2 linked regions of the Coturnix japonica genome follow. The protein of the gene in region 2 interacts with the protein of the main gene of each other region in a biochemical or structural test. Links are inferred from orthologs where the notes say so. Each region holds a gene or a part of one and is shown on either strand. Other genes may lie near its edges. The genes, in order: ILK and FERMT2.

Region 1 (4,583 bases), on a different chromosome or scaffold from region 2:
GGATTGCATGGGACTTTCCTCCTGTCTGGGGGCTGCAGGAGGAGCAGCACCAGCATTGTGTGCAAAGGCACTGCACTAAGGGAGCCTCCCTTGCCCCACTGAGCCACGTGCTGTGCCAAGCGCTGCCCCTCAGCCCTGAGTTCCACCCCAGCACACAGATCCGTGCCCCCAGCTCTGCAGGAAGCCTCTGTCCTTACGGGGCCGCGTGCGGGTCGTGCCCTTCCAGAAGGTGTCTTTGTAGGGGATCTTGGTCAGGTTCTGGCCCAGCTTCTCTGCATGCTCTGGAAGCAAATGAAGAGTTGGACAGCGAAGCAGCCCATGGTGCTGAGCTTCAGGGCTGCAGCAGCCAGAGGCAGGGACTGGGTGCAGGTGGGAGCCTCCTACCTTTCAGGATCTCCCGCAGAGGCATCTTGGCTTTGTCAATGGGCGTCTCGCTGTATTTGTTGGCAATGCTGACCAAGGCCCCGTTACCCACGAGGTCCTGAGGAAGAAGAAATTGAGCACCCACAGCTGCTGCTGTTTTCTCAGCCCCTTCCTACACACCCAGCCTCCCCCCTGCCATCCCCTGTGCTCCTGTATCCAGGTGCTGCTCTCACCTCTGCCACCGTGTCGTGTCCCCAGAAGCAGGCGTAGTGCAGAGGGGTGTTCCCGTGCTCATTCACCGCGTTGATGTCCGCTTTGAACTGGATCAGCTGCAGGCAGGACAGTCCTGGTGAGCCCAGAGTGGGTCCCTTCCAGTGCACTGAGGGGGGGGGAATGCACTCACAGCAGGGGCTGCTGATAGGAAGGGGCTGAAGGCTGCGAGGGGATGGTGGGAGCACCCAGAGGTGGGTGCAGTGAGTGCATGGAGGGGGCAGGGAGCAGTGGGGCAGGGAGCAGTGGGGCAGGGAGCAGTGGGGCAGGGCCTGCTGGGCACAGTGAGTCTGACTGTGGCTGTGCAGTGTTTGGGGAGCTGGTACCTTCTGCACGATGTCGCGGTGGCCGTGGCTGGCCGCCAGGTGCAGCGGGGTGTCGTCGCCGCGGTTCATGACGTTGATGCGCGCTCCGCGCATGATCAGCATGTCCACCACGTTGGAGCGGCCCTCGCGACAGGCCCAGTGCAGGGGGCTGAAGCCGTGGTCATCCCTGAGGGGACAGCGGTGAGGATGTGCTGGGAGCACGCAGGGCTGTATCTCAGGGGAGCACTGGGGAATAGCACTGGAGGAGACCCCATACCATCCTGCAGCTCCACGGGCCCCTCAGCTCCTGGCCTGGCTGAGTGAGGCACAGCTCCGAGCCCAAGGGATGCTGCAGCCCCAAGGGCAGGGAGGTGAGTTCTGCTCCCACTGCTCAGCACCCAACAGCAGCAGCCACACAGCCCCAAAGCCACGCTGCACCCTGCCATGCTGTGAGGAGCAGCCCAAGTGCTGCCCCTGCTCTGCCCACCCCCAGGAGGGCCCCGACCACGTTCCATCGTCCTCATGGCTGGAGCAGCAGAGGCTGCTGAGGACCAGGAGCCCCCCCATGCCCCCCCCATCTGCTCGCAGCCGTGCCTGGCCAAGTAAGGGAGGAGGCGGCAGCCGGGCCTTAAAAGGAGATTAGGGCCCAGTAGGCGGGGATGGGGATGGGGATGGGGATGGGGATGGGGATATAGCAGCCCCACTGCCCTCAGCTCCAGCAGAACCGGGGCCATCCAGTGCACTGCCAGCACCGTTCCCGTGGCACACAGCGCTGGGCTGGAGCCGAACACCCCATAACAACCAATAATACCCCATAACAACCAATAATACCCCATAACAAGCAATAATACCCCATAACAACCAATAATACCCCATAACAACCAATAATACCCCATAACAACCAATAACAGCCCATATCAAGCAATAGCAGCCCCGGGGATACAGCCCAGCCCAGCCCAGCTCTGGGGGACGGGAGGGCACAGCGGTGCCCCTGGGGTCAGGGGTTACTTGAGGTCACCTCGCCCTGCAGCCCCCTTTGGGGGGAGGCTCCTCCCAACGCCCCCCCCCCAACCCACGGCCGGACACCGGGACAACGGCGGTGTCCGAGGGGGCGGACGGAGGATGTTTGGCGCTCATGCCTCAGCGATGCGGTAACTTCCTCCGGCGGGGAGGAGCCGCATCCCACCGCCCCCCCCCCCACGGACACGGGGCGGAAACGAGCCCCGGAGCATCCCCCGCCCCCCCGCTCACCCCTGGTTGAGGTCATTCTCGGTGTTGTCCAACCACAGCCGCACGGCCACCGCGTTGCCCTCCCGGCACTGCGTGAAGATGTCATCCATCGCGGCTGGGGCTGCGGGGAGCGCGGGGTGAGGGCGAGGCCCCGCGAGGCCCGACGGTCCCGCACTGCTCGGGGGGGCCGCAATGTCCGCAGTGTCGCGGGTGCCCGCGGCCAACAGCAGGAAACAGCGCGGAGCCCGCAGCGTTACCTGCGTTATCTGCAACCCGCACTCGGGGCCGCGGCCGGGGGGAGCGGCGGGGATCAGTGCGGGAGGAGACCCCGCACCGCCCCGCGGCTCCGCGTCCCGTCCGCCCGCTGCTCCCGGCCGGTTCCGCTCCTCGGCCCCGACGGCAGCGGCCGCGCAGCCCCAGGGCGGCCCCGCAACGGGAGGGATGCGGGGCTGAGCTCAGCGGGATCCACCGCGACGGGCCGCGGCCCCGGGTCCCCCCGCAACATACGGACCCCGCACACGGACCCCGCTCCCGCCGCCCGTCCCGACGCTGCCGCTCCGCCCCCGGCCCCGCGCCGTCCCCGCTCCGCGCCGCGCAGCCCCGCAGCCGCCTCCATCTCCGCCCCGCTCCTCCCCGCGCCCTCGGCCGCCGCTCCCGGCCCGCTCTGATCTCGAGCTCCGCCCGCACGGCCCGGCCCGGCCCGCCGCCCTTACCGGCTCCGGCGGCGCAGGGCGGTGGCTGTGCGGGGCTGTGCGTGGCTCCGCCCCGGCCGCACGCAGCGCCCCCTGCCGGCCCCGCACGGCGGAGGAACCGGCGGGAACGACAAGGGGCGGTGCGGGAACGGAGCGGAGATGGGCGGGGAACGAGGGCGGGGAGAACCGGGGGGAGGAACCGGGGGGAGGGGCCGAGGGGCTCTGGGCGGTGCCGGTCGCTGCCGTTCACCCTCCGCTCCGCACGGGGCGCTGCCTCGTGTGCCCGGGGCTGCTCCGGCCGCCGGTGCACGTGGGGTCCGGGCGCTGGGTTCGGTCCGTGCCGGTTCCGCTCGGTCCCGTCGCCGCCGTGGCGATGTTCGAGGTGGAGGAGTGGGACGAGGGCGCGGACGGGCTGGCGCTGCCTCGGGCCGTGCCGGAGCTTCGTGCTGATGCCAAAGGTTCTGAGCCGCCGGTAAGGGGAGGGGGAACGAACCGGGCCGAGCCCCGGCTGCGGGACTGACGTTGCTCCGGTCCCGCAGGTCAGCGCCGCGATGCAGCGGAAGCGGCGGCAGCGCCTCGTGGCCACGTTGCGGCGGCTGCAGGCGGCGGGACCGGGACCGGGACCGGGACGGGACGGCGAAGAGGCTCGAAAGCGGCCCGGGAAGCGCGTGAGAACCGAGAGGGACCGAACCGCGGCGGAGGCGGCTCCGGAGGAACCGCAGCCCCGGGACGGAGGCGGCAACGCGGGGAACGAGGCGGAGCTGCCGCCCCGGGTCACCGCGGAACCGCCCCGAAGGAACGTGCAGCCCGCGGGGGGGGCGGGAGGCTCCGGAGCTGCGGCACCGAGACTGAGCAGGAAACAGTGGCGGAATAAACAGAAAAACAAACGGCGGCAGGAGAAGCTGAAGGCGGAGAAGCTGAAAGCGGAGCAGAACGGGGCCGGGGGCGGCTGCACCGGGCGGGATGAGCCCGAACCGACCGAACCCGAACCGCCCGAACCGGACGCGGTTCCCACGGGGCGGTCGGCGGCGCTGCGGGCCCGCATGGAGGAGCGGCTGCTGGCCGCGCGGTTCCGGTACATCAACGAGCGGTTGTACACCGGCACCAGCCGCGACGCCGTCGAGCTGTTCCGGAGCGACCCCGAGGCGTTTCACATCTACCACCGCGGCTTCGCGCTGCAGGTCCAGCGGTGGCCGCAGAACCCGGTGGATTCCATCATCCAACGGCTGCGGCAGCGGTGAGAAATACAGCTATAGAATGGGCTGGGATGGAAGGGAACCCCGGGATCATGGAGCTCCAACCCCACATCACACACAGGGCCACCAACCTCCACATTGATACCAGCCCAGGCTGCCCAGGGCCCCATCCAAGCTGGCCTTGAACACCTCCAGGGATGGACGGGGCATCCACAGCCTCTCTGGGCAGCTGTTCCAGCACCTCAACACTCTCTGTAAACAACATCCCCTGACATCCAACCTCAATCTGCCCTTCAACTCCAAACCATTTCCCCTTGTCCTGCTGTTATCTGCCCTTTCACAGAGCTGACTCCCCTCCTGTCTGTAGGCTCCCTTCAGGTCCTGGCAGGCTGCACTGAGGTCACCCCGCAGCCTTCTCTTCTCCATGCTGAACAAGCCCAGCTCCCTCAGCCTGTCTTTGTATGGGAGGTGCTGCAGCCTCTGAGCATCTTTGTGGCCTCCTCTGCACCCTCTCCAACAGCTCCATG
Region 2 (4,445 bases):
CATCCCAGCTTAATAGGCATGAGTAGGATGAATTGCACAGCTCCTATGCTGTAAGCAGGATTTTGCCCCGGACCTTTATAGGTCACCAAATAAATAGTGCTGCTCTTCAAACCTCAGCACTTCTTGCCCATTTTTCCGCCAAGCTCATGGCGCAGCTCAATTAACACAGTGCCTTCATCTGCCGGGCTGATGAATAACAGGGGAGCACGCAGGTCGCTGCAATGCACTCAGTAACCAGAATCCCCACCTGGGGGTTTCTCCAATCGCAACAGGCTTTAACTGCAAGCGGCCGGAACTGCAGGGAGGGAATGCATGGGGCTTGTGCTCAAAGCCAACAACTGCTTCCACCAATGTCAGGGGTCCATCAGGGTCAGCCCGACCCCAAATCCCCTGGGCTCAGCCTGGCCCCACATTCCAAGCTCCCCAATGGAAGAGCCCACGGAGGAGCCAAGTCTGGCCCACGGCAGCCGCCCCATCCATCTGCATCTCATCCATCCTCCACCAGAAACGTCAGCTTTGGGAAGTTTCCTTAAAACCCACAGCAAAAACAGAGAGAGAGGGATCAATCCTTCAGGAAACAATCACACTTTTTGCTTTTTTAACCACAGGGAGATGTTAAAACAGCAGAGCAGCCTTGGGATGGGGGAAAGCAGCACGGATTTGACTTATGGAAGCGAGGGCCGCGGGCTGCGCTGACAGCTGAGTGCAGAGCAGCAGAATCCCATTCCCGTGCTGCTGGCATTCCTTCCCCTTAATACAATGCCTAATTTAACCAGCACGGCGCGGGGACGTCTGACGTCAGCCTCTAATTCGGGTCCCCTGGGCAGCCCCGAGCAGAGCCCTCCATCAGGGGGTTGGTTTTTACCATTTCTAGAAAGCCATTGAGGTGGCTTCAGGGGTTTGGGTGGTTTTTTTTTCCCCTAGTGTTTTGTTCTGGGGTTTTGTTTTGCTCCCCAGTCACTCGGCCCGGCTTCAGGCTGAGCTTTCTGCAGCCCCAGCAGAAAAATAACACAGACATAAACGGGCTTTTGGAGCCGGGGCTGCCTCCAGCAGGAGATCCTTTGATCGAATGGTTGCCTCCCTTTAAGCCGACCCTATTCAGGTCCACCTCCCCCTTCCTTTAAGCCCAGGCAATTCCCAAATGACAACCGAAGCAGGACGCTGCTTTTCCAGCCACGCAAACATGTTGCATTGAAGCAGGACCCGCGGGCAGGGCTGACAGCACAGCTACTCCCACAGCCCCAGGCATGCGCCTGCAGTGCAACATTTCATGTTTTATCCCAGCAGTGACAGCAACCACCCCAACCCCACTGCTGGGTAAGCACACACAGAGCACAGCCAGAGGGCACGGACAGCCACCTCCACTAACGCTGACCATGCCCAGCTCCGCTCTGAGCAAACTCTGCTAATTAAATCTTTTTGTTAATGGCAGGACTTGCACCAAACAGCCCGAAGCAACGATATTTCTGAGCTCCGTGCAAACTGCAGCCAGCAGGACCCCGGGGTGATGGGAGTGGGTGTGGGGTGGGTGCTGCTGGGGGGCCGGGTGGAGCTCAGATTGGTGCAGGGACACCCTGGGGCACGCAGAGCTGGAACAGGGACTGGGGCAGCATGGAGCAGATGCTGGATATAGGCAGGGTGCTGGTCCAGGTGTATCACAGAATATCCTAAGCTGGATGGGACCCATAAGGATCGAGTTCAACTCCTGGTGCCAGACACGAGCGAGGTGCTGGGTGCTGCTTCCAGGCAGGGAGCTGGGTGCCAAAGCACAGCACTGGGTGCAGCCCTGAGGCTTCATGTTGGGAGCTGAGGAACAGTTTGGGGCAGAGCCCCGGCCGCGGGTGCAGGCAGGTGCTGGGCGCTAAAGCACAGCACTGGGGTGGGATGCTGGGGCAGCGCCCTGGGTGCAGCCCGCAGGCTGGATGCTAAAGCAAGACACCGCTGCAGGGTGCTGAGCGCCACAGCGAGTTATTGCACGGGGTGCTGGGTGTTAAGGCACAGCATCAGGGCTGAGCTGCGGGGCTGGGTGCAGGCAGGGCACCGGTGGTAGAGCAAAGCACCGGGGCAGGGTGCCGGGTGTCCAAGCCGGCTGAGGGGCAGGGCGGGGGATGTCGGGGCGCTGGATGCCGTGGCAGCGGCCCGGCGCTGGCTGCAGGCACAGTCCCGGGGCAGGATGCTGGGGCAGCGCGGCCGCCGGCACTCACCGAGCTTCTCAACGAGGCGCAGCATGACTCCCCCGATGTGGATCTCCCCGGTGACCCTCAGGGTGACGTCGCGGCCCAGGTCGGTGACATGGACGCTCAGCTCCCACGTCCCGTCGGCGTAGCAGCCGTCCGGCATGCGGATCCCGTCCAGCGCCATGGCCCCGGCCTCCTGCGCGCAGATACAGCGCTCAGAGCCGGCACGGCACGGCTCGGCACGGAGCGGAGCGGGGAGGGACGGACGGACGGAGCCCGGCGGGTGCGGGGGGGACAGCGCGGCCGCCCCCGAACCGCTGCCTGCGGGGCCGCCGTGGGGGGGGCGGGGGGAGAAGGGGCGGGCAGGGATGGGATGGGATGGGAGGAGGAGGAGGAGGGACGAAGGAGGAGGAGGGGGATAATTAAAGGAAAAACGCCCGGCGGCCCCTTGGCCTTTTATGGGAAAGAAGGACCGAGCGCAGCGGGGGCTGCTCCAACATCCGGGACTCGGCTCGCAGCGCTGCCCGTCGGGGGGCGGCCCCGCTTGTCCCGGAGCGGCTCGTGGGGCTGCTCCGAACCGGGCCGCGCTTCCAGCCCGGCTGGTGCCGGCTCTGGGTGTGTTTGTTCGTCCCGTTGGTAGAACACAAAGACAAAAGCCTCACCTTGGCGTCGTGGTTCATGGAGCCGAGGCCGGGCGATGCGCTGCCGCCCTCCATCCCGAGAGCTTAGGAAATGGGAACTGGCTGAACCGAGAGCCGGCACAAATAGCGAGAAAAACCCTCCTATTATCCGCTTCCTGCGGCTCCCCACCCAGTGATACATGTGTCCTGCTGAGGCAGCCCGGCTTCCTGACAGTCCGTGTGTGCAGGGAGCGGGGCGGTGGGCAGGATGTGGCCGGCAATGGCAGCGCGTCCCATGGAAGCCATCCCATACCCGTGGCTTTGGGGACAGCACGGTCCTCAGCTTCCTGTGTGCCCTTCATATATGGCTCCGGAGATGGATAATGAGTAGGGGAACAAAGACCTGATGGTGAAAGTGGTGGGGTCCCACCACTTCTTCCCTTTTGCTGTTTGATGGGATCCCCTTTCCCACAAGCATTAACGTTTAGCACACAAGGAGTGTGGAGGATTCAGGCTAGTGAGGCAGATGGTTGGACTAGGTGATCTCAGAGGTCTTTTACAATATTAATCCAACCCAAATCCTCCCTGGGCCTCACTCCTGGCCAGCAGAACCCCACTTCTGCCCCCAAACCTGGGAGCTGGAGCCCAGCTTGCAGGGTGCCAACAGGGGAACACCAGCCCTTAACAGCAGAGCTCTGTCAGATCCTATCTCAGTGTTGCTCCAATGCCAAACAATAGGGCCATACACAGAAAGGGTTACTCTGCTCTCCAGCCTTTTGGCCGAGCTTCCCAGCTGATGCAATGCATCACAGCCCTGCTCGGGCCGCCTTGTTTCACTCCAGCTGACTGCTGCTGGTTTCTCCTGCCCTGAGCACCACTTGCTGCTCCGTTTCCCCGCTCTCGTGGTGCTGGTGGCCGCACACACCGTCCCCAGGGTCCCCATCCCATGCTGTGGGTGTGCGCGGAGGCGGGCGGCCGCATCACCAATGTGCTGCTGAGATTTGAGGCCAGGTCAGACATGCACGGCGTGGGCTCATGCGTCAGAAGCAGCCAAGCATCCCCAGCTCTTCCCACTGCTTGCCAGAGCTCCGTGCTCCCTCCATGCAGCCATAGCCAAATAAGGTGCCGCAGCGCACGGCCGCTTCCATCGGGATGGAGGTGATGCCCAGCAAAGCTGCTGCCGTCCTTCTGCCTTTCCCAAGAAACAACTCAATGGACATCAGGATGAGTCTATCTTTGTGAAACCCATTTTTGCCTTTTCTTTTAGAGCTCACTTGTAGTTTGAGTTTTAATATTTAACTCTGTGCACTCAGCTCTCTTTCCCACCTCGCCGCAGTGGAGCCGGTCAGACTGGCTCCCTCCAGGCTGGCTGAAATCTGTGCTCTGAGCTCCGCAGGGTGATGGGAGCAGCAGGAGGAGAAAAAGGGAAACATTTCCCAGCATTTCCTCCCTGCTCACCTGGGCATTTTCCCCGTGCATCCCCATCTCCTTCAGCCTGTTGGATGTAGCCGGGGTTCTTTCCCACAGATGGTCATTTCCGAGCAGAGACAAGGTCACACTCCTGGCAAGGGAAGTGCTCTGGGTAGCTCCGCTTCCTGGTTTATTCCCGGCCACATTCGTTCGTTCCCGGCTTTGCCATGTTGGAAAT

The links.
Region 1: the proteins of FERMT2 (region 2) and ILK form a complex in vitro, tested with the Homo sapiens proteins (2 studies listed by BioGRID). The link is inferred for Coturnix japonica from reciprocal best matches to the Homo sapiens genes FERMT2 and ILK.

Annotation. Positions count from the first base shown.
Region 1 is NC_029516.1:173,992,538-173,997,120, forward strand, and holds the start of ILK (integrin-linked protein kinase), read right to left. Parts: upstream 2,882-4,583; intron 2,290-2,881; coding exon of another isoform or gene 2,279-2,289; coding exon 2,190-2,278; intron 1,126-2,189; coding exon 960-1,125; intron 693-959; coding exon 597-692; intron 482-596; coding exon 385-481; intron 282-384; coding exon 198-281; intron 1-197. Other genes in the region: RRP8 (ribosomal RNA-processing protein 8), read left to right, coding at 2,268-2,289, 2,882-3,318, 3,400-4,097. UniProt on the Homo sapiens protein: Scaffold protein which mediates protein-protein interactions during a range of cellular events including focal adhesion assembly, cell adhesion and cell migration.
Region 2 is NC_029520.1:52,895,160-52,899,604, forward strand, and holds the start of FERMT2 (fermitin family homolog 2), read right to left. Parts: upstream 2,924-4,445; 5' UTR 2,894-2,923; coding exon 2,840-2,893; intron 2,374-2,839; coding exon 2,205-2,373; intron 1-2,204. UniProt on the Homo sapiens protein: Scaffolding protein that enhances integrin activation mediated by TLN1 and/or TLN2, but activates integrins only weakly by itself. Binds to membranes enriched in phosphoinositides.